4 linked regions of the Arabidopsis thaliana genome follow. The protein of the gene in region 1 interacts with the protein of each later gene in a pairwise test. Each region holds a gene or a part of one and is shown on either strand. Other genes may lie near its edges.

Region 1 (6,418 bases):
GGTGGTATGTGCCTTGCAAAGTCTGATGTCGGGCACACGTCGATCTCTTTTGGTGGTGAATTCAATCTGGTTGGTGAAATAGGAAATTGAATTTGTTCCCAAAAATAAACGGATCCCGAATATCCGCGGATATCCAGTTTTTTCACGGATATTCGAAATCCGGATATCCGAGGTTTACGGATCCGGATGCGGATCCTAAAACTACATATCCGCCGGATACGGATACGGATCCGGATACTCCAAAAAACCCGGATATCCGGATCCGTAACAGGCCTAATCGTAGGTTGGTAAATTCTAGAAAAATAAGAGATATAAAAACTATATAGTTGTGACATATTCATTATTCAATATGAGCCATGGCTACACAAACTATATAGTTGTGACATTTTCATTATTCAATATGAGCCATGGCTACACAAACTATATAGCTGTGACATATCATACACAGAATAATATTCCCATGAATGCATGTATATATAGATCCTTTGGTTTTCCACCGAATAGTACAAACGTGTATATGATAAAAGTTTAGTCTTGAATTTTATAGATCTTACAAGATTGGGAAGACAGCCGTTTTCGGTACCAACTAAACCCGTAGTCACGGCCGGTCCATCTTAATATGCTGTCTAAAGCCCAAAAAATAAAAACTGGCCCATTATAAAACAAAGTTGAAAAAAATTGCGAGGTACAATTTATCAACTAAGTATTCTTCATCCGTCTAGACATCAAAAGAGTTCTAACTCTCTCCAAGAGATATCGATCTAGTGTTCTTTCTTAAGCCAATCGAAATGTTATTTATCCATCCTCAAATTAGCCAATTCCAAATATTGTTTTCAAATTATAGCCTTTTCCAAAGATTGTGTTTTCAATGAATAATTGTAGAAATTTAATTTTGATAGTTTTTTTATAAGAAAACTACGCAAAAAGTCCAGACTTAATATCCAAGGTGATATCTTTTCCAAGTCAATAGTTCATTGACTATTATGCGTATCTTCTATGTTTTAAAATAAAATAAATTTTGCTAGTTTAGAAATGTGATAATTATTGGAAGTATATCAATGGAATTTTTTATATCTCATTTAGTATGTCTAATTTTGAAAGTTATCTGTATTGAAAATGATTAAATATTCTTACCCTTATAAACCATATATCACTTCAAAATTTATGCTATTGTAGTATTGTTTATAGAAAAACGGAAAAATAAAAATCATTACAAATAAACGCGGCAATGAAACAGAAAAAATAAAAACCATTAAAAATAATCGCGGCAAATTTAAATAACGGCTATCGAAATAATGAAAATTATTTTTTGTTAACAAACATTTTTCTGGAGAAAGTTTTTAAAAATTGATTAAATATTCTTATAACTTTGTAAAATAATATTTTCAAAAACTTCTAAACTATCCTCAACTAATAAAATTTTATTTGCCACTTGCAATACAACTAAAACTTTGTTAGACCTTGTACGCAATAAAGAAAATATTTTTCAATGTCGATAGCTATCTCCATTCCAATGGCCCCCCTAGTCTATTCATCGATTCACAATCTTATCAATCATGTTCCGTCAATACACACTTTTCTAATTTCAACAATTTTATAATTGTTGCCCTCGTTACATTTAATTGTAATATTTTTGTTCTCCTCATGATAATATTATTCCATTATTGTATTCGACCATATCTATCTGCGTGTATTGACCGCCTCTTCAATTAAGTCACCACCCAATAAGATTTCGACGTTGACTGACCGACTTGTAGCTTTAATAAAGCCCACATGATTTGCTTTTCGTCCAAGCAAATTTTTGGTTAGAGAAAGAGGAAAAAAACTCAGGAACCGCCGACTTAAGAATTTCTTCTTCATCATCTCTCCAATATCGCCGATTATATATAAATGACTCTTCGATTCTGTTTCTTCTTCGTCGTCATCGCCGGCTTAGGGTTTTCTCTATAAGCAAATCTTATCTTCTCCTTTTCCTCCGTTTTTTCTGGTCAGCTTTTGCTTTTAGATTACCCTTGTTGCCTGCGATCGATCTGAAAAAAGAGGTCCGTCATGTTCATGTTCATGTTCAGTTTCTTTTCGTTTTGTTTCAATTCTTCTCATGCGATTTGAGGATTTTTTTTTTTATCTTGAATTGTTTTTTTTTGTTGAAGTCGATGATTGTAGATCGGCTTAGATTCGTTTGATTTTGAGTGGTTTTGTGTTGTTTTGATTGAGTTTTTGGATGATTCGTGTGATTATGCTTACGATCTGTGTTTTTTCGTCTCTGATTTTAGTTTATTTTGAAAATCAGTGAAACTGCGATTGATTTGGTTCGATTTGTGGATTTTGTGAAGCAACAGAGCTATTTTGACTTGAGAGATGAATTTTAATTTTTATTGAAAGCTAAAAAGTTGCTGGTTTGGATGTTGCAGGAACTTTATCTTGCTGACGGCTGTTATAAAAAGACGTGGCATTTCTTCTCTGATTGTGTTTATTTTTATGACGGAGAAGATGAACACACTTGTAATCTATCAGACTCTAACTGTTACTGTTGGGTGAGTTTCAAGCTCATGGCTTGGGTTTATTGTTCTCATTTTTCTGTGTTGGTGATTGGGTTTACTTGTTTTTGTTGGTTTGTTTCTGTGTTTATCTTTAGTGTCTCATAGGATCGTTCTTGTTGAGTGTGATGTTCATTTCTTATTGCTTCATTCCTATGTAGGTTGATTTGTACCTTCCGTCTTTGTAATGGATCTTTGTGCTCTTTATAACACAAGATACAACAAGAAGTAATGAAAGACTGTTCATAATGTTACTTACTGATGGAAATTGTAGCAAATGTCTTTTGTGAAGGAATGATATTACAGGATCATAGGTCTCATATAGTTATGCTGATTCTTTCTTGTTTACTGATTCTTTATCATGTAAACTGTGAGGAGTTTTTGTTTGACTCTATTCTCTGTAATATAGTTGTTCAATATTTTAAGCCTTTTCCATTTCTTTTGTGCAGTGTTTTCTAATGCTGTCGGCAAGACACTATCTTTAGGACTGCTAGGGAGTTTAGAGGTTACACAGTTGACTTTTTCTATCAAGGTTATAGGTTTAGTATTGTTAATATATAGAAATGGAAGCCAAGATCGTCAAGGTGTTGGATAGTAGTAGGTGTGAAGATGGATTCGGAAAAAAGAGGAAGCGCGCAGCAAGCTATGCTGCATATGTTACTGGAGTTTCGTGTGCAAAGCTGCAAAATGTGCCCCCACCGAACGGGCAGTGCCAAATTCCTGACAAAAGAAGAAGGCTGGAAGGTGAAAACAAGCTTAGCGCTTACGAGAATCGCTCTGGGAAGGCGCTGGTCAGATATTACACTTATTTTAAGAAGACTGGAATCGCTAAACGTGTTATGATGTATGAGAATGGCGAATGGAATGATTTGCCTGAGCACGTTATATGCGCCATCCAGAATGAATTAGAAGAAAAGAGCGCCGCAATTGAGTTCAAGTTATGCGGTCACAGTTTTATTTTGGACTTCTTGCACATGCAAAGACTAGACATGGAAACAGGAGCAAAAACCCCTCTTGCATGGATTGACAATGCAGGAAAGTGCTTTTTCCCTGAAATTTATGAGAGTGATGAAAGGACCAATTACTGCCATCATAAATGTGTGGAAGACCCAAAACAGAATGCTCCTCATGATATCAAACTTCGCCTAGAGATTGATGTTAATGGTGGCGAGACACCGAGGTTAAATTTGGAGGAGTGCAGTGATGAGTCTGGTGATAATATGATGGACGATGTTCCCCTTGCTCAACGATCTTCAAATGAGCACTATGACGAGGCTACGGAGGATAGCTGCAGCCGCAAGCTCGAAGCTGCTGTTTCGAAATGGGATGAGACTGATGCTATAGTCGTCTCTGGTGCCAAGCTTACGGGAAGCGAAGTACTTGATAAAGATGCAGTAAAAAAAATGTTTGCTGTAGGCACAGCTTCTCTAGGACATGTACCAGTGCTGGATGTGGGCCGTTTTTCCAGTGAGATTGCTGAAGCTCGTCTAGCACTTTTCCAGAAGCAGGTTGAGATCACTAAGAAACATCGAGGGGATGCAAACGTTAGGTATGCCTGGCTTCCTGCAAAGAGGGAAGTTTTATCAGCAGTGATGATGCAAGGACTTGGAGTTGGTGGAGCATTTATCAGAAAGTCCATCTATGGTGTTGGGATCCATTTAACCGCTGCAGACTGCCCTTATTTCAGGTATTTGCCTCGTATTCATCTGTTTTTTTCATGTTTAGATCGTATATTTTACCTTCCTCTGCAATAGGTTCTTTGTGTGTCAAGTACTAACTATGAACTTGTTTACAGTGCTAGATACTGTGATGTTGACGAAAACGGAGTACGTTACATGGTTTTATGCCGTGTGATTATGGGGAATATGGAGCTTCTTCGTGGTGATAAAGCTCAGTTCTTTTCTGGTGGAGAAGAATATGACAATGGAGTCGATGACATTGAGAGTCCAAAGAATTACATTGTCTGGAACATCAATATGAACACACATATATTCCCGGAATTTGTTGTTAGGTTCAAGCTGTCTAATCTCCCCAATGCTGAAGGTGATTAGTTTGTTCTTTTTTTTGTTCCTCACATTCTATCTTCCCCCATTCAAATCAACTGATGACGCATTGAAAGGGAGACAGCTTAGAGATCTGGCTGAAGCTCAGGTCTCAACTGATAAATTTAGAAAAAAAAGTTCCATGTGTGATAATGATAAACCTAACGACCTCCGGTGTTATAACACATTTGGGTTTCAAGAGACAAGTCTCTGATTCATCATCCGGGGGTCGGATGTGATACTCACGCCTTAATGGGTATTTCGATCCATCAAAATTATGTTTTGTGTAGTATTAGAAGTCCGATGACATACACTGGTTTCTGCAGGTAATTTGATTGCTAAGCGTGATAACTCAGGGGTCACTTTGGAAGGACCTAAGGATCTTCCTCCTCAATTGGAGTCAAACGTGAGTTTGGTTACTTCAGTTTTTCTTTGTATGATCTTATTAAAGAAGAGGGACTGAACAACTATATGTGGTGTTGTTGTGTTTAAAAAGCAGGGAGCAAGAGGTTCAGGAAGTGCAAACAGTGTTGGTTCAAGCACTACAAGACCCAAATCTCCATGGATGCCATTTCCTACTCTGTTTGCAGCAATCTCACATAAGGTTGCAGAGAACGACATGTTGTTGATCAATGCTGACTACCAACAACTGAGGGTATAGAAAAAAACTGATTCTGAGAGTTTGCTTTATGATTGGTAATTGCATAAGCTGGAATACATAAGAAATTTGTTGTGCAGGATAAGAAGATGACGAGAGCGGAGTTTGTCAGGAAACTGCGGGTGATTGTAGGAGATGATCTGCTAAGGTCCACCATAACAACCCTTCAAAACCAGGTAAGATAGTAGTAGTAGAGATATTGTTGTTGATCATAAGTTTACTTTGTAAACGGAAATGCTCAACAAAGGTTTTTTGGTTTTAACTTCAGCCAAAGTCGAAGGAGATTCCAGGAAGCATCAGAGACCATGAAGAAGGTGCAGGTGGATTGTAAGTAAAGTGGATGATGATGATGACGAATATCAAAAGGAAGCTGCTTTTTATCTATCTACCTGCCTTTGTGGTTCTCCTTTTGACTTTTTCTAATTTTAGACTTTTGGTTTTGGGTCGGGTCGTTGGTAGAGTTTAAAATGTGTCGACTTTTCTTTCTGTCGTGAAAAATCGTACTATATTATATGATTCTACTTAGTCAATGATGTCGTTGGGTCTTTGTTTCTTTAGCTGCAAGCAAAACATTGTTGTGGAAGTCGTTGAATCTTGACGAAAATTTGGTCGTTAAGCCTATCGCGTGAAACTTTTCTTCACTATACTTTTTCTCATTATTCTGTTAGCTTTATTAGATGCCTCACATTTGTGTGAAGGATTATTTAAGAGTATGATAACTGGTCACCTCTGGGTTCCTTTGACACTTGTGTACTACGGGTAAATCAAGACTAGAGGAATACCAGGAGAAAATAGTGTTGGTCCTCTCCTCCCCTTTAGAGCTCTATATGATGCGCACTGAGTAAGCTTGGCCTCTGACGATGAGAAGCTAGTGGATATCTCGATATTCTAGGTCCAATCAGTTCGATTTTATGGAGTCTCTGTGGAGTAGAGTAAACGGTCAGTTTGGGATCTCTTTCTCTATAACAGCGATTTGGAATCTGATCCGAGTGGTTCACCCAAAAGTACAATGGTTCTGGCTGTTTTCTTTTCATGGTTATAATCTGAAGCATTATTTTATTCCTTTTTGTTTGTGTTGTGAGTCGGCATTTTAGCTTTAAACGAATTTAAAACCGAGGAATTGATGATGAGCCTAACTCTTGCATATTACAGAGGATTGGAGCCATGTATCTTTCACTTGG
Region 2 (4,140 bases), on another chromosome or scaffold:
CCGGTGAAAGCTAAACCGGTTCCATCTAATTAAAATGAGAAAAAAAAGTAGTGGTAGTAACTTCGTCTCGAACCATGCGCGGGATTAAAGAGAGCGAATTATACGACCACTATGGCAAGACGCATTTAATTGAATAAATAATACTAGATTTGCGCAAAATAGTTGTTATACATTTTGAACAAAATATATAATATAAAAACCAAATAATATTTAGATCCGTGATGTACAGGTTGAATCTATAGAATTTTTTTAGAGGAAGTAAAAAAGAATCAAAATCTAAAGTTAAAATTAATACCTTAAATTTTTTGAAACCTTAGAGAGAGTCTTCTTCCCGTAAAAATATATATTTTACTTTATACTGAAAAAGTATAATATTTTCTATGATTTTTTGGCAAAAAAACAAAGAAATTGTATCACGGAATCTGCAAAACAAACATATTGTTTAAAAAATATTTCTAAAATAGTTATTTAATTGATCGTAATTAATATGTCCCCTCATGTCTTATCCGTTGATTTATTTTTAGTGACAATCCACAAAAATCGGCCATAATCTCTACTTGATAGTTTTTTCTTTCTATTTTGATATTGAAAGGTTAGTCCTATGTTTGACTAATATTGAGGAATCTTCTTTGTTGATGTATTTTGTGCAAATTTTGAGGAACCAAAGAGAATTTCAATTCCAATTTTGGGTGGATTCGAGCTATTTTATTGATTTATTTTTGGTTATATCTCGAAGGATGTTCTGACAATCAATAGATAATTTGAAGGCCAACACTGTTTTTGCATAAATATAGGATTCTTCATCTCAAAAATTAAAAAGATACATAAATAATCGGAACTCACCATATAATTGATCTGTTTTGGTTCTCGTCCTAGTTCTTCTTGTACTTCTCTTTCCAATTTCTTCTCTCCTTTCTTCTTTCCCATTTCTTCTCTTCTTTCTTCTTTCCCATGACTATGATTAGATTTTTTTTGGCCCTTTTTACCAGCAAGATGTTATCTTGTCCATGGAATTTTTAAAACTAGTTCAATTTTGATTAATTATTTTAAATTGACCCCATTATAAAGTAGAAATTAATCCTTGTAAAATTTAGTTTAAGAGCAAACAATTAGATATTATATAACTTTTTAGGCCAATTTAAATCAAAACAAATAAATATAAAATAAAAACATGTCTATTGAAATGATTTCAACCTCATAATTTTGTCCTCTTGTTAGTCTATCATTTTTTTATCATCCTTTTTTTTTTCATTCACCATTTTTCATTGAAAATTAAGTTAAAAATAAAGTTATAGGTTAAAAAATTAATATACATTTTAATTTTAAATACAATGTTTTGATGATTTTATCTAACTGATTATATAAAAAAAATATTCAGCGTCTTCAAAAAAAAAAAGAAAAAAAAATTATTCAGTTAGAATATTGATTCAAAGAAATTTTTCAATGGGTATAAAAAATAGCAACGCAAATTACTTTGGTTGAAAAAAACTAAATTTAAAAATATAATTCGAGTTATAAATTGAGCTATAAACTCAAATAAAAGTTTTAATACGAAATTAAACAATAGAATCTTCTGCAATTCGAAATTCCTTTTGGTACGTCCATGTCTTCTTTCCGCCATGGAAATAATGCCATCTGTTAATCATCAATGTTCATTGCACCTCTTCATCTCTAGGGTTCCCATTTCTAATTCTCTCTTAAACCCTTCTCGCCGTTTTCGCCCATAAGTTTCTCAATTCCCAAATTCGCAATCGTAATGGCGATTCTCCTCAAGCTTTCGTCTTGCTGATCCTTTAAAGGTACGATTTTTCTATTCAATTTAGTATCAGCCAATGATTAGTTATTGATAATTGGTTCTGAATCGCTTGGATTGTGTTTTCACTCTGCAATTAGGTTGTTGTTTGGTTTTTGATCACAAAGTCTCATACTTTTTGGTTAAGATTCAATCAAAAGAGTCAAAGGTTACTTCTTTGTTACTGGGTTTTGAGTAATGGACGACGGTGAGCTTGAGTTTTCGAATTCAAACATGGGTGGTGAATTACCTAGCTGTTCGATGGATTCGTTCTTCGATGAGCTTTTGAGAGATTCTCATGCTTGTACTCATACTCACACTTGTAATCCTCCGGGACCAGAGAACACACATACTCACACATGTCTCCATGTGCACACCAAGATTCTTCCTGACAAAGTTTCTACTGATGATACATCGGAATCTTCAGGGAAGAAGAGACCTTTAGGGAATAGAGAAGCGGTTAGAAAGTATAGGGAGAAGAAGAAGGCTAAAGCGGCTTCGTTGGAGGATGAGGTTATGAGGCTTAAGGCGGTTAATAATCAGCTGTTGAAGAGGTTGCAAGGTCAAGCTGCATTGGAAGCTGAGGTTACTAGGCTCAAGTGTTTGCTTGTTGATATAAGAGGAAGAATTGATGGAGAGATTGGTGCGTTTCCTTATCAGAAACCTGCGGTTACAAACGTGCCTTACTCATACATGATGCATCCTTGCAATATGCAATGTGATGTTGATAACTTGTACTGCCTTCAAAATGGGAATAATGGAGAAGGTGCATCGATGAATGAGCAAGGGCTAAATGGTTGTGAGTTTGATCAGCTAGAATGCTTGGCTAATCAGAATTTAGCTGGCAAGGAGATCCCTGTTTGTAGTAATGGAATTGGAACATTCACTGTCAATGGATCCGGCGTTAATAAGAGAAAAGGTGACATTCTAGTTCCTTTGGATCTCTTTCCTAGAGGCTGTCCTTAATAGCTATATCTTTATACAGTTTTCATCGTAGTTACTTCCATATTGTCACTGTACTTATCCTGGAATTGTGTCATTTCTGAGGTTCCCTTGAACGTTTTTTGTTTAAACTTGTGGTTTGTGTATATTTTGTTTATGAACTCAAGGTTTTTGATCTTGCAACAGGTGAGCCTCGAGCAGCGAAAGCAGTTTGAAGTATCATCAATCATGTGATACTATCAATCATTCACCCCATTTTCAAGTTGGTAGTTAATTTTCTTCCAATAAGTAGTAGAGTTCAACTGCATCACCAGCTTCCTTCAAGTCCATTTGTGCTATCATCAGGTTTTTAGTCTCTTTGCATTTCCTTGTTGAGCTCGTTGAAGCTAGAAATAAGACTTGTTAATATTCAAATCGAGTTTGCTATTTGGTTTTGTACTTTAGTAGCTTCTTTTTTTGTTGTGAAGTTCTTGTAGAAGAGATTGAATGTTGCATTTGGAAAAGTAAGTTATGGGAAGCCATCTCGACAATTAGTAACTTGGTTGTTTTCGACTTTTCGTTAGTCTGGTACAGTCTTGTGCTTCTGAAATCACTTATACGATGCATCAATTCTCGATTTGGTATGATATTTTCCTTGATGCTCTATGGAGTCTTGGGGAGTAGTACTATGCTAAAAAGAACCAAGACACGAACGATTCCTGAATATTGTTGCACGATCGTGTCTACATAGAATATGTTGCACGCTCAGTTTGACTGGATGACTACTAATTACTGCCAATGATGCTATCCCAAATTCCTTATTCAATGAATCTTTTGTCAGGCTTTGGAGTTCTAGAGTCGAATTTTGTGACACAGGAATGATAGGAAACCAACAAAATCCAACATGGTTACATTAACAAACAGAGATGATTCATGTTAATCCTAATACAGACGCAAAGCTTGTCTTTCAGAAACTGGCTAAAGCAAGATAAGACACTTTAAGTAATGGAGAGACCAAATCGTTTCTTAATTTTCATGATTGTTGTGTAATATCTTCTTTGATGTCCTCGGCATCCTCTTCATCGCGATAGATGCTTTCTGCCATCTGCCACACCTGAAGACTGTTGTCTTCAGCTACACTTGCAATGACCCAAGGCTCGTTTTTGTTCCAAGCAAAGTCTGATATCTTAGCCTTGTGGCCTCCGTGAGAGAAGAGTAACTCTGGTGGACCATCTTCTGCATCCAACTCTATCTCAAGCTGCTCTTCTCCAACCCTGTAAACCCCAAAAAAGAAGCATTACTCAACGTTGAACAATCTTCAGATTTAAAAGTTGAAGTTTTTGAATTCTGCAAAGTAGATGATGATGATACATACCTGTTCAGGTCCCAGACCATCAGCCTTCTGTCCTCCCCTGAAGATGCGAGTA
Region 3 (6,762 bases), 4.8 Mb from region 1:
TTATTTTTCCTCTCTATTAATATTAATTCTAAAAGCTGAATTATATTCACAAAAATTTCGAGATAAAACAATCAAAAACTGATTGAAACAATTTATGTTTTAATTATAAAATATTTCCTGAATTTAATTTGGGTGGTGAGCACCATTATTTCAATTAAATCACAAGTTGTTTAATCTAATTAAAAAAGTGGATAAAATGTGTAGGTAGACAGTAGACATATTAGATGATATACCTAATGCAAATATTTATGATTATTATGTAAAGTCGAAGCTATTTGATCATATTTTAATTAAGAAAATGACCTCAATAATCATATTCGTTTAGACTTTACTCTTCACGTCTCGTTCTTTAAAACGAGAAATAATGTCTGCTTTTATAATTGAAAATAAGTCGCTATATAGGAAAAACAATATCTGATTTTTATAATGAAAATAAGTCGTTATATCAGTTTTGGGTTCTCAATTTTTTTCCTAAATTTTAATTAAAATTGAAAAGTCATATAGTTTTTTTTTTCTCTTTACTTTTGGTCCGTGGAATTGCTATTTACAGACTGTAGTGTACAAACTTTTGTTCGCTGGCTTGTCTCTAAAACTATATGAATGCAATTGTAAGAAGTTAGGACCATCGGCTGAATGAATTTAATAATTATGTAAACATTTTCATGCATTTTTGGTTGTTCGTAGCATATGACCAAAACTCAGATTTGTATTTATTATCTATTTTTGGGAGGTAACAAAAACAAGAAATGATCGTCCTTTTTAATTTCCGTTAAGTTTGAGATAAGGTTTAATTAAACGAGTGGAAAACAAACGCTTCAAATTAATATCGTCGGTTGCTCCGTTTCCCATATTTAGTCCATTTAGTCACTTACCATAATCATTTTTCTACATATTATTTCGAAATTTACTTACTACAGTATTAAAACACTCAGGTTTCATCCTAATCATTCTCGATGTAATACTAATCATCATTCATCAGTCAAAGTAATTAAAAGAAAACCAGTCAAATTTCTTGATATAAACAAAAAAAAACGCGAAGAATTATTTGTTAGGAGAACACATTTAATGAACATTTAATTTATGTATATTATCTTCCAGCAAAATCTCAGTTTAATGAAGTGCATTATCATCAACATAAACCTTCTGTACTAAATACAATCTGTCCCATTTATTTTAATTTATATAAAAGGAAGATTTTATTAAATACTATTCCATGCTTCATATAGTTGTAGTGGAGTAAACAGTATGATCACGATGTAAAAACAGAAAAGATAATCATAAAACAGTCAAAAACGTTTTTTTTTCTTTTCAAAATGATCACATATACAATGTTTGTATGAGGTAAGCTAAATTTATTTCTCTTACAATTACAAAATGTTCAGTAACAAATACGTCTAAGTATAATACTGTTTATTTAAGTATCGCATGCAACGGTAAATACAATAAACGCTTTTCAGAAATCAAAGATTGAAAGTCTCGAAAACGTCAATGGCTTAGGTTTATTTTGTTCAGGTCTTCTATTAATAGGGATTGTATAAAAAGGAAGCACATGTGATACATGTCATTGTTTGGCTATCATCGTGATAAGAAATTTTAGGAAAAAGCCTATCTATTCATTCCCTTTAACAAAAATAGGGCTACTGTGTATACGGATTTAGTATTTTTATTTGTTTCCGACTTAAAACCAGAATTATTACTATTAATCAACAGGCCAAATATCTAAATAATACTATATAGAATTCAACTAAATTGAATTATTAAAAGATTATTAAGGAGGGTAAATAAATAGAAGGAGAATAAAAAAAAAAAAAAAAGAAGAGAAAGTGAAGGTAACGATTAGTTTAAAGGAGAGCCTCTGCTACGTTTTAGGCTTTGAAGTGATACAGAAGGCATTAGATAGATAGATAGATTATTTTCACCATCAACATCACCATCACCGCCACTATCACACCATAACCCACCACTCTTCTTCTTCTTCTTCTTCTTCTCTCTCTTTCTCTGTATCTAGAAACAGAGAGTTTTTGATTCTCTCTGTTTTCAAATCTGTTCCACTAAGCTCTCTTGCTTTCGGGAAGATTCTGTTTCACTGCTGCATTTTGGATTTTTCCGGTGAGTTTTTTTCTCTCTCCATATATACTCTCCTCCTTTCGATTCTACATTTCTTCGGAATTATGCTTCGAAATCGGAGAACTGTATATATCATGCTCTGTTATTAGTTCATTTACAAAAAAAAAAAAAAAAGAGGAATCGGCGTCGGTGACTTTTGGTTTTGTGATTTGACTGTTGAGAAAAAAGCGTCGGTGATTTGGTTTTCGAGGTATTTTTTTCTTCGTCTGCCATTTGTTTGGCTTTATATCCTGAAGTTACTGATTCTAGTAATGGCTTTTGTCTCCATTTTACTTGATTTTTGGAGGTATTCCTTTACTAGTTTGATTCCTCTCTTCTTTTCATTTACAAGTGTTCACAGTTCATCGAAATCAGAAATTTTCTAGTCGATTGCGATCGTCGGTAGTCTTTTGCCTCTGCATCTCTGATTATTTTTTACTTTCTGGCATTTGCTTTCTGATTTGACTTCACCACTTCGTTTCGGAAAGTTCTTAATTATTTTTCCGAAATCCCAAAATTGTATATATTTGGTTTAATTTTTATGTTTTTGTTTTCTGAAAATGTTGAATTGTTTGTTGATTATGAAGATGGATCGTAAGAGTTGGCCATGGAAGAAGAAATCCTCTGAGAAAACAGCTACTGTCACAGAAGTTGTTGATCAGGTACTTTGATCACTAATCAATCACTCTTTAAATTTCTCAGATTTGTTTCATTTAATTCTAAGATTTATGTTTTGATTCCTTCACAAAAAAAAAAAAACAGGAAAATGGGAAGAAGCCGAGTTATATCCAGATCTCATTTGATCAATACACGAATCTAAATGGTTTAAAAGATGAAGTCAAGAGCTACGAAGAAAAAGTTACAAAGCTTGAGGATCAGATCAAAGATTTGGATTTGAAGCTATCAACAGCTAATGCAGATATTGTAGCAAAGGAGGTTTTAGTCAAACAACACTCCAAAGTTGCTGAAGAAGCTGTCACAGGTAATAAAATTTGCATGCATTTCTGTGTTTTTTCTTTTGAGTCACATGTTTTTGATTTATGTTTGGTTTTGATTCAGGTTGGGAAAAAGCTGAAGCAGAAGCATCAGCTTTGAAAACACATCTCGAAACCATTACTCTCGCAAAGCTCACTGTCGAAGATCGAGCAGCGCATTTAGATGGAGCGTTAAAGGAGTGTATGAGACAAATAAGGAGTTTAAAGGAAGAGAATGAACAGAAGCTGCATGATGTTATCGCTACTAAAACCAACCAAATGGACAATCTTAGAGCTGAGTTTGAGTCTAGGATTGGGGAATACGAGGAAGAACTGCTTCGGTGTGGTGCTGAGAATGACGCGCTTTCGAGATCGTTGCAAGAGAGGTCTAACATGCTAATGAGGATAAGTGAGGAGAAGTCTCAAGCAGAGTCTGAGATTGAGCATCTTAAGAACAATATAGAGTCTTGTGAAAGGGAGATAAATACTCTCAAGTATGAAACTCATGTGATTACCAAAGAGTTGGAGATCCGTAACGAGGAAAAGAATATGAGTATGAGATCTGCGGAAGCGGCGAATAAGCAGCATTTGGAAGGTGTCAAGAAGATTGCAAAGTTGGAAGCTGAGTGTCAAAGATTACGAACTCTTGTGAGAAAGAAACTTCCTGGTCCTGCAGCACTTGCACAGATGAAAATGGAGGTTGAGAGTTTAGGATTTGGAGATCATCGTCAAGATCATCGACAAAGAAGGTCACCGGTTAGACCATCTAGTCCTCTTATGTCTCCAATGTCACACATGTCTCAGGTTTCTGAGTTCTCACTTGACAATATGCAAAAGTTCCATAAAGAAAACGATTTGCTTACTGAGAGGCTACTTGCTATGGAAGAAGAAACAAAGATGCTTAAAGAAGCTTTGGCTAAGCGTAACAGCGAGCTTCAAGTGTCGAGAAATCTCTGTGCTAAGACAGCTAATAGGCTACAAACCTTGGAAGCTCAAATGATGAGTAAAAGTCCAACCAAGAGAGGTTTTGAAATGCCAGCTGAAATCTTTTCTCGTCAAAATGCTAGTAATCCTCCTAGTATGGCTTCAATGTCTGAGGATGGAAACGAAGATGCTAGAAGCGTTGCTGGCTCTTTGATGTCTGAACTCTCTCAATCTAACAAGGATAAAGCCAACGCGAAGATCAAGAAGACCGAGAGTGCTAACCAGTTGGAGCTGATGGATGATTTTCTTGAAATGGAAAAGCTAGCTTGTCTACCAAATGGCTCAAACGCAAATGGTTCGACGGATCACTCAAGTGCTGATTCCGATGCTGAGATTCCACCAGCGACTCAACTGAAGAAAAGAATCTCCAATGTGCTTCAGTCTCTCCCTAAAGATGCTGCATTTGAGAAGATTTTGGCAGAGATACAATGTGCAGTTAAAGATGCAGGTGTTAAGCTGCCTTCTAAGAGTCATGGAGCTAATTTGAACGGTCTTACAGAAGAAAAGGTGATAGCCATGTCAAATGAGACTACAGAGGAAAAAGTTACCATTGTCGAGGTAATAACACAAGAATTGTCTGATGCTCTTTCTCAGATATACCAGTTTGTTACCTATCTTTCAAAGGAAGCAACGGCGTGTTCTGAGAACAGAACTTTCTCCCAAAAAGTTCAAGAATTCTCTACCACATTCGAGGGAGTCTTGGGCAAGGAAAAGACATTGGTCGATTTTCTGTTTGATCTTTCGCGAGTTTTAGTCGAAGCTAGTGAGCTAAAGATCGATGTGCTAGGGTTCCACACATCCACAGTAGAGATTCACAGCCCGGATTGCATTGATAAAGTCGCTCTACCGGAAAACAAAGCACTTCAGAAAGATTCATCAGGTGAACATTACCAGAATGGTTGTTCTCAGAGCTCAGATTCTGAGATTCCGGATGATTGCAACGGAACATCTGGCTATGAACCAAAGCTTGCAACTTGTAAATTTACAACAGAGGAGTTTGAAGGTTTGAAACTCGAGAAAGAAAAAGCAGAGAGCAACCTTGCAAGCTGTGAAGCAGATCTTGAAGCAACTAAGACCAAACTACAAGAAACAGAGAAACTTCTTGCTGAAGTCAAATCAGACTTGGAATCTGCTCAGAAGTCTAATGGCATGGGCGAGACTCAACTCAAATGCATGGTGGAATCATATAGATCTCTTGAAACTAGATCATCGGAGCTGGAAATCGAGTTGACTTCTCTTAAAGGCAAGATCGAAAACTTAGAAGATGAGCTTCACGACGAGAAGGAAAATCATCGAGAAGCTTTAGCCAAATGCCAAGAACTCGAGGAGCAATTACAAAGGTAACAGCAAACTAATCATTACTCTCTTTTTCAATGTAGAGTCTCTAAAAATCTCTAACTTCACTTTTCTACAAAACATCAGGAACAACCAAAACTGCCCGAATTGTTCAGTAATCGAAGATGATCCTAAAAGCAAACAGGTAAATTTTCCAAAGATACCAATTTATTACCTTACCTAACAGAGATTTCGGTTTTTTAAATTTATAATTCATGACATTGAATGTTTTTACACAGGACAATGAACTAGCGGCTGCTGCAGAGAAGCTAGCAGAGTGTCAAGAGACTATATTACTTCTCGGGAAGCAACTCAAATCCATGTGTCCTCAAACAGAACAGGTTGCTTCTTCTCCAAGCCAAGAACAACAAGCCCTAAACCCTGAAGAAGAGGAATACGCAACTTCCACAAATCCTCAAGACAGCAAATTGAGTTCGCCTTCAGACAAGGATACACCATCGATGAATACAATGAAATCTCCGGTCGCGTCGAAACATAGACACACGAAGTCGAACTCGTCATCGTCCTCATCAGGACTTACTCCTGAGAAACACTCTAGAGGATTCAGCAGGTTCTTCTCCACTAAAGCAAAGTAAAAATAAATAAAAAGAATTAAAAAAAGTATAAATCTAACTATGTTGTATATCGTATCTATTGCTACTATATTATATGGGTTTTGTTTTTAATTTTTTACTATGTGGGAATGTTATTTTAACTTAGGTTTTTTCTTACTTTCTTTCTTTATTTCTGTACTGACAACAATTTGGTGTTGAATTCCGCGGCGTGTAAATGTCAAGCTACCAAATCTCGTTTTCTCATTGGTGTGCGTTATTTTTTAATCTAAGGTTTCTTAAAAACATCTCAATTTAATATCTTTTCCCCTATCTTTAAAAACTGAAACTACAAGTTCTGTGTTCTGTAAACAAAGCCAATCAGGTTTCAAGGTTTAATGAAATCTCAACTTTGGGCTTAGCCCAGCCCACTTACACCGTCTCATATGCTACTTGTTTGAAGGTGTATATAGAATTTCTTGTGAAATCACATCCCGTGGGTTGAGAATAACGCCAACATTTTTCTAGTAATTTCATACGAAATGCTTGTTTGAAGGCCGGCAAAAACAAAAGAAATCAAGAAAGAATGTCTCAGTGATGAACACTCCGATCGATTAATTGGGGTTAGTGCAACGATCCTCATTGTGGGAATATACCTTTTAAAGCAATTAGCGATCATTTACTGATAATCAATGTTTTGACAGTTTAGCTACTGTTTGGTTTAATAGGGCATCACATGTTCACGTATTCAACACCTACACACTATTACATCTAATTCTGACCTATATCACAATTCATTTACTTAGACATGT
Region 4 (4,605 bases), on another chromosome or scaffold:
TGGGGTTTTTCGTAGACAGAAATTTGTTAATTTTGGGCACAATTTGTCTCTTTTGGATTACGTTCTGTGCGATTTGTGGCTTCGAGTTCGTGTGGGGTTAAGAGACTTGGAAATTAGAGGATCTTTAGCTGGAATAAACGTTAAATGTGGTACCTTTCCTGAGTTTGCTCTGTTCTAATTGTGGTCGTGATGGGGTTTCTTTTTATTCGCTGTGATGCTGCAGATTGTGAAAAATTCTTGTAGCTACTTCGGTGTTGGTAGATTCTGTGATGCTTAAAAATTGTTTCTTTGAAGGTGCTTTGATCCCAAGTATAGTTGAACATGTTGCTTTAAATCTTGTTAAGAGAAAAAATGGGACTTGCTTCTGTGCCCAATAGTTCACGAGCATGTTGCTAATCTTGCTTCTATGCCCAGGAAACGGAAGTCTCGTGGAACACGAGATGTAGCTGAGATTCTAAGGAAATGGAGAGAGTACAATGAGCAGACCGAGGCAGATTCTTGCATCGATGGTGGTGGTTCAAAACCAATCCGAAAGGCTCCTCCAAAACGTTCGAGGAAGGGTTGTATGAAAGGTAAAGGTGGACCTGAAAATGGGATTTGTGACTATACAGGAGTTAGACAGAGGACATGGGGTAAATGGGTTGCTGAGATCCGTGAGCCAGGCCGAGGTGCTAAGTTATGGCTCGGTACTTTCTCTAGTTCATATGAAGCTGCATTGGCTTATGATGAGGCTTCCAAAGCTATTTACGGTCAGTCTGCCCGACTCAATCTTCCACTGCTGCCACTGTGTCAGGCTCGGTTACTGCATTTTCTGATGAATCTGAAGTTTGTGCACGTGAGGATACAAATGCAAGATCTGGTTTTGGTCAGGTCAGACTAGAGGATTGTATTGATGAATATGTTCTCCTAGATAGTTCTAGTGTATTGTTAATCGTAGTTGACTATTGTGAGGTCTTAAGTTGTAGATTGAAAATGAGATAGCTCATATGGAGCTTTATTGAAATGCAAGAAAGTAAACAAAGGAAGATCTTTAGATTGTCACCAAGAGTGGTCTGAAACTCTCATAACACTCAATCCTCCTCCTCCTCATCACCACCACTACAAAATATTATATTCTCTATCTCTCAATCTATGAGGAGATGTATTCTATCAAGCATTTGAAATGATAAGAAACTGGCGATCATCCTCTACGTCACCATCACTCCAAAATTATCCTCTTTCTAGGTTTAAGTTTTGTAATGATCGCCTTTATTTGTTGAGATCTCTAACTTCTCGCATTTCCAAAATGTTAAGTCCAATAACTGCATTGGTTAAGTTGGGGCGTTACTAGTCGGCTTAAATCCAAATATGGATTTGATTCCATATGTATGTGACAGTTTCTTAACGTTCATATTACAATGAATGATGGATCCTTGACTAGACAAAGAGAAAATGGATTGTCACTTCGTAGGAAAAATAGAAATTCTCCACGAAGGCTGGTCTCCTTTATTTAACGACAAATTCACTCATAGTCTCATTCACAATTTGAACTTGTCTAACACAATGTGTTATATACTCGCGAAAAGAAGCATAATAGGCTCTTAAGGGTAATCCACGAAACCAAAACACATATAAAACATTAATATTTTTCTCTAAATTTATTCATATCAATAATAAAGTTTACAAAAAATATAAAACAATAATCCATACTTAGCCCATAGCTTCGTGTGGAAGAAGACTTGATTTTTGACTAGTCAACGAAAATGAGTAAATGACGTATTCAGCTATAGTAAAAGGGATCATAAGCGGAAATTACAAAGAAGCTTTGAGGGTAAAATAGTCAAAAAGCATAATCAGAAATAACTTAGGCCCAAAGCAAAAAGGAAAGGACTCTGGATCCAGCCGCAAATCAGAATCTGGTAAGTTCGAACGCCACGTCATCACCTAAATATCTGAAATATCTAATTAAGACTTGTCTATATATAAAGGCTTCTCCTTTCACAATCCCAAACCTTTCTCTTCTCTGCTAACGAGAAAACAAAAGCTATCGTCTTTGCTACTACTACTACTACTATTATTACATTGAATCCTTTGTGTTCTTCTTCTTCAGCTGCTACTTTGTTCGAGTGCTTTCTTACATGCCGTCGGAGATTGTTGACAGGTTTGTTTGTTACATTTTTCGATTTTTCTCCGTTTTTTTTCCTCTCTTCTGTATGTTTGCTAAATGTGATTGTTCATTGTTAGGGTTTAAGATTTTCTTTTTATCGATTTTTGTTGTTTTGTGTGTATATCCTCCAAGTTCCTTTGTTTGTGTAATAGGTGGAAGCTGAAAGGTTTTTCAATTTTAGGGTTTTTGGGGTTTTTTGTTGACTGAAATTTGTTAATTTGGGGCACAATTTGTCTCTTTTGGATTGAGTTCTGTGCGATTTGTGGATTCTAGTTCGTGTGTGGTTAAGAGACTTGGAAATTAGAGGATTTTTAGCTAAAATAATCGTTAAAGGTGGTACCTTTCCTGATACAGAAGTTAGATTATGGATTCTATGTTGAATCTTTAGGTGATTCTCTGTTTCTGAGTTTGCTCTGTTCTAGTTTCTTAATCTGTTCGTGATGGAGTTTCTTTCTTGCTCGCTGTGATGCTGCAGATTATGAAAACTTCTTCTTGTAGCTACTTCGGTGTAATTACGTTCAGGTGGTTAAAAATTGTTTCTTTGAAAGGTGCTTTGATCCGAAGTATAGTTGAACCTGTTGCTTGAAATTTTGTGAAGAGAGAAAATTGGAGTTCTCGAGCATGTTGCTAATCTTGCTTCTATCCCCTTTGATTCTACCAGGAAAAGGAAGTCTCGTGGAACACGAGATGTAGCTGAGATTCTAAGGCAATGGAGAGAGTACAATGAGCAGATTGAGGCAGAATCTTGTATCGATGGTGGTGGTCCAAAATCAATCCGAAAGCCTCCTCCAAAAGGTTCGAGGAAGGGTTGTATGAAAGGTAAAGGTGGACCTGAAAACGGGATTTGTGACTATAGAGGAGTTAGACAGAGGAGATGGGGTAAATGGGTTGCTGAGATCCGTGAGCCAGACGGAGGTGCTAGGTTGTGGCTCGGTACTTTCTCCAGTTCATATGAAGCTGCATTGGCTTATGACGAGGCGGCCAAAGCTATATATGGTCAGTCTGCCAGACTCAATCTTCCCGAGATCACAAATCGCTCTTCTTCGACTGCTGCCACTGCCACTGTGTCAGGCTCGGTTACTGCATTTTCTGATGAATCTGAAGTTTGTGCACGTGAGGATACAAATGCAAGTTCAGGTTTTGGTCAGGTGAAACTAGAGGATTGTAGCGATGAATATGTTCTCTTAGATAGTTCTCAGTGTATTAAAGAGGAGCTGAAAGGAAAAGAGGAAGTGAGGGAAGAACATAACTTGGCTGTTGGTTTTGGAATTGGACAGGACTCGAAAAGGGAGACTTTGGATGCTTGGTTGATGGGAAATGGCAATGAACAAGAACCATTGGAGTTTGGTGTGGATGAAACGTTTGATATTAATGAGCTATTGGGTATATTAAACGACAACAATGTGTCTGGTCAAGAGACAATGCAGTATCAAGTGGATAGACACCCAAATTTCAGTTACCAAACGCAGTTTCCAAATTCTAACTTGCTCGGGAGCCTCAACCCTATGGAGATTGCTCAACCAGGAGTTGATTATGGATGTCCTTATGTGCAGCCCAGTGATATGGAGAACTATGGTATTGATTTAGACCATCGCAGGTTCAATGATCTTGACATACAGGACTTGGATTTTGGAGGAGACAAAGATGTTCATGGATCTACATAAGATTTCAAATTTCGTTTGACTGGCCTAAGTTTGTGATTCTGCTCCGAGACGGTGTAGCTGTTACTAGCTAGAAGCTGCCCTTCTTTGAAGCTACTGATACTTTCTGATATTAATGGTTGTGAGACGTAGTACATGTAGTTAGGTAATGTAGGACAAGTTCAAATATGATTCCTTCTTTCTTTTTCTTGTGAATACATATGACATATGAAGAAGTTCAAACGTTGGGTTTAGAAAAAGTTTATAACATTCGGTACATATCAAAGTTTTGAACTTCGGATGCATATAAGCTATAAAGTTTTGATCTTTGAACTTTGGATACTCTCACATCTAATTTTCATCCTTAAGAATGGAGATGGAATAATGCGATGTTGCGTAGTGGTTTTATTGACTTGGCAAGTTTTGATTATTCAAGAAACTTGGCTTAGTTTAATGGAAATATCCAGTAGTGGAGTTTTTTGGTCTGCAGACTTTCCTCAGGTTGTCTGAGATTACATAAGCAATGAGGTATGAATAATAAAGTTATCATTAGAGAGTTATCTATCTGTATTTTCTACAAAAGGCAAATTGGGTATTTGAAAGTGCAAATGGGACATAGTTGTATATTATTTAAAAGGCTTTAACTATTCCATTCTGGTCTCCAAAATCGTTTTTCTTGCTCGAATCTTGAAGATCTTCTAAGCCTTTAGAAAAATGAAGAAATCAAGTTGGCAAACTGTTAATTAATTAAATCCAATGAATTGGTGGGTATTGCACCTCCACAAGTTCCCTTTGACAATGTGTCCTCTTCTCCGCAAG

The links.
Region 2: the proteins of RCD1 (region 1) and bZIP23 interact in a two-hybrid assay, tested with the Arabidopsis thaliana proteins (one study listed by BioGRID).
Region 3: the proteins of RCD1 (region 1) and AT1G19835 interact in a two-hybrid assay, tested with the Arabidopsis thaliana proteins (one study listed by BioGRID).
Region 4: the proteins of RCD1 (region 1) and DREB2C interact in a two-hybrid assay, tested with the Arabidopsis thaliana proteins (2 studies listed by BioGRID).

What each region holds. Positions count from the first base shown.
Region 1 is NC_003070.9:11,610,327-11,616,744, forward strand, and holds RCD1 (WWE protein-protein interaction domain protein family), read left to right. Parts: upstream 1-1,791; 5' UTR 1,792-2,042; intron 2,043-2,411; 5' UTR 2,412-2,534; exon of another isoform or gene 2,535-2,986; 5' UTR 2,987-3,100; coding exon 3,101-4,224; intron 4,225-4,332; coding exon 4,333-4,580; intron 4,581-4,905; coding exon 4,906-4,985; intron 4,986-5,075; coding exon 5,076-5,234; intron 5,235-5,317; coding exon 5,318-5,413; coding exon of another isoform or gene 5,414-5,422; exon of another isoform or gene 5,423-5,505; coding exon 5,506-5,568; 3' UTR 5,569-5,892; downstream 5,893-6,418. UniProt on the Arabidopsis thaliana protein: Inactive ADP-ribosyltransferase that functions with SRO1 to regulate oxidative stress, hormonal and developmental responses. Required for embryogenesis, vegetative and reproductive development, and abiotic stress responses.
Region 2 is NC_003071.7:7,277,869-7,282,008, forward strand, and holds bZIP23 (Basic-leucine zipper (bZIP) transcription factor family protein), read left to right. Parts: upstream 1-1,562; 5' UTR 1,563-1,799; intron 1,800-1,893; 5' UTR 1,894-1,990; coding exon 1,991-2,711; intron 2,712-2,920; coding exon 2,921-2,949; 3' UTR 2,950-3,079; exon of another isoform or gene 3,080-3,297; intron 3,298-3,505; exon of another isoform or gene 3,506-3,554; 3' UTR 3,555-3,631; downstream 3,632-4,140. Other genes in the region: MSI2 (Transducin family protein / WD-40 repeat family protein), read right to left, coding at 3,747-3,987, 4,089-4,140. UniProt on the Arabidopsis thaliana protein: Transcription factor involved in the response to zinc ion deficiency. Binds to the consensus sequence 5'-[AG]TGTCGACA[CT]-3' also called zinc deficiency response element (ZDRE).
Region 3 is NC_003070.9:6,855,445-6,862,206, reverse strand, and holds AT1G19835 (filament-like protein (DUF869)), read left to right. Parts: upstream 1-1,643; 5' UTR 1,644-1,823; intron 1,824-1,830; exon of another isoform or gene 1,831-2,008; 5' UTR 2,009-2,508; intron 2,509-2,693; coding exon 2,694-2,768; intron 2,769-2,868; coding exon 2,869-3,088; intron 3,089-3,165; coding exon 3,166-5,404; intron 5,405-5,486; coding exon 5,487-5,544; intron 5,545-5,638; coding exon 5,639-5,995; 3' UTR 5,996-6,255; downstream 6,256-6,762.
Region 4 is NC_003071.7:16,847,870-16,852,474, reverse strand, and holds DREB2C (Integrase-type DNA-binding superfamily protein), read left to right. Parts: upstream 1-1,987; 5' UTR 1,988-2,117; coding exon of another isoform or gene 2,118-2,140; exon of another isoform or gene 2,141-2,621; 5' UTR 2,622-2,624; coding exon 2,625-2,668; exon of another isoform or gene 2,669-2,807; coding exon 2,808-3,810; 3' UTR 3,811-4,086; downstream 4,087-4,605. Other genes in the region: AT2G40350 (Integrase-type DNA-binding superfamily protein), read left to right, coding at 415-880. UniProt on the Arabidopsis thaliana protein: Transcriptional activator that binds specifically to the DNA sequence 5'-[AG]CCGAC-3'. Binding to the C-repeat/DRE element mediates high salinity- and abscisic acid-inducible transcription.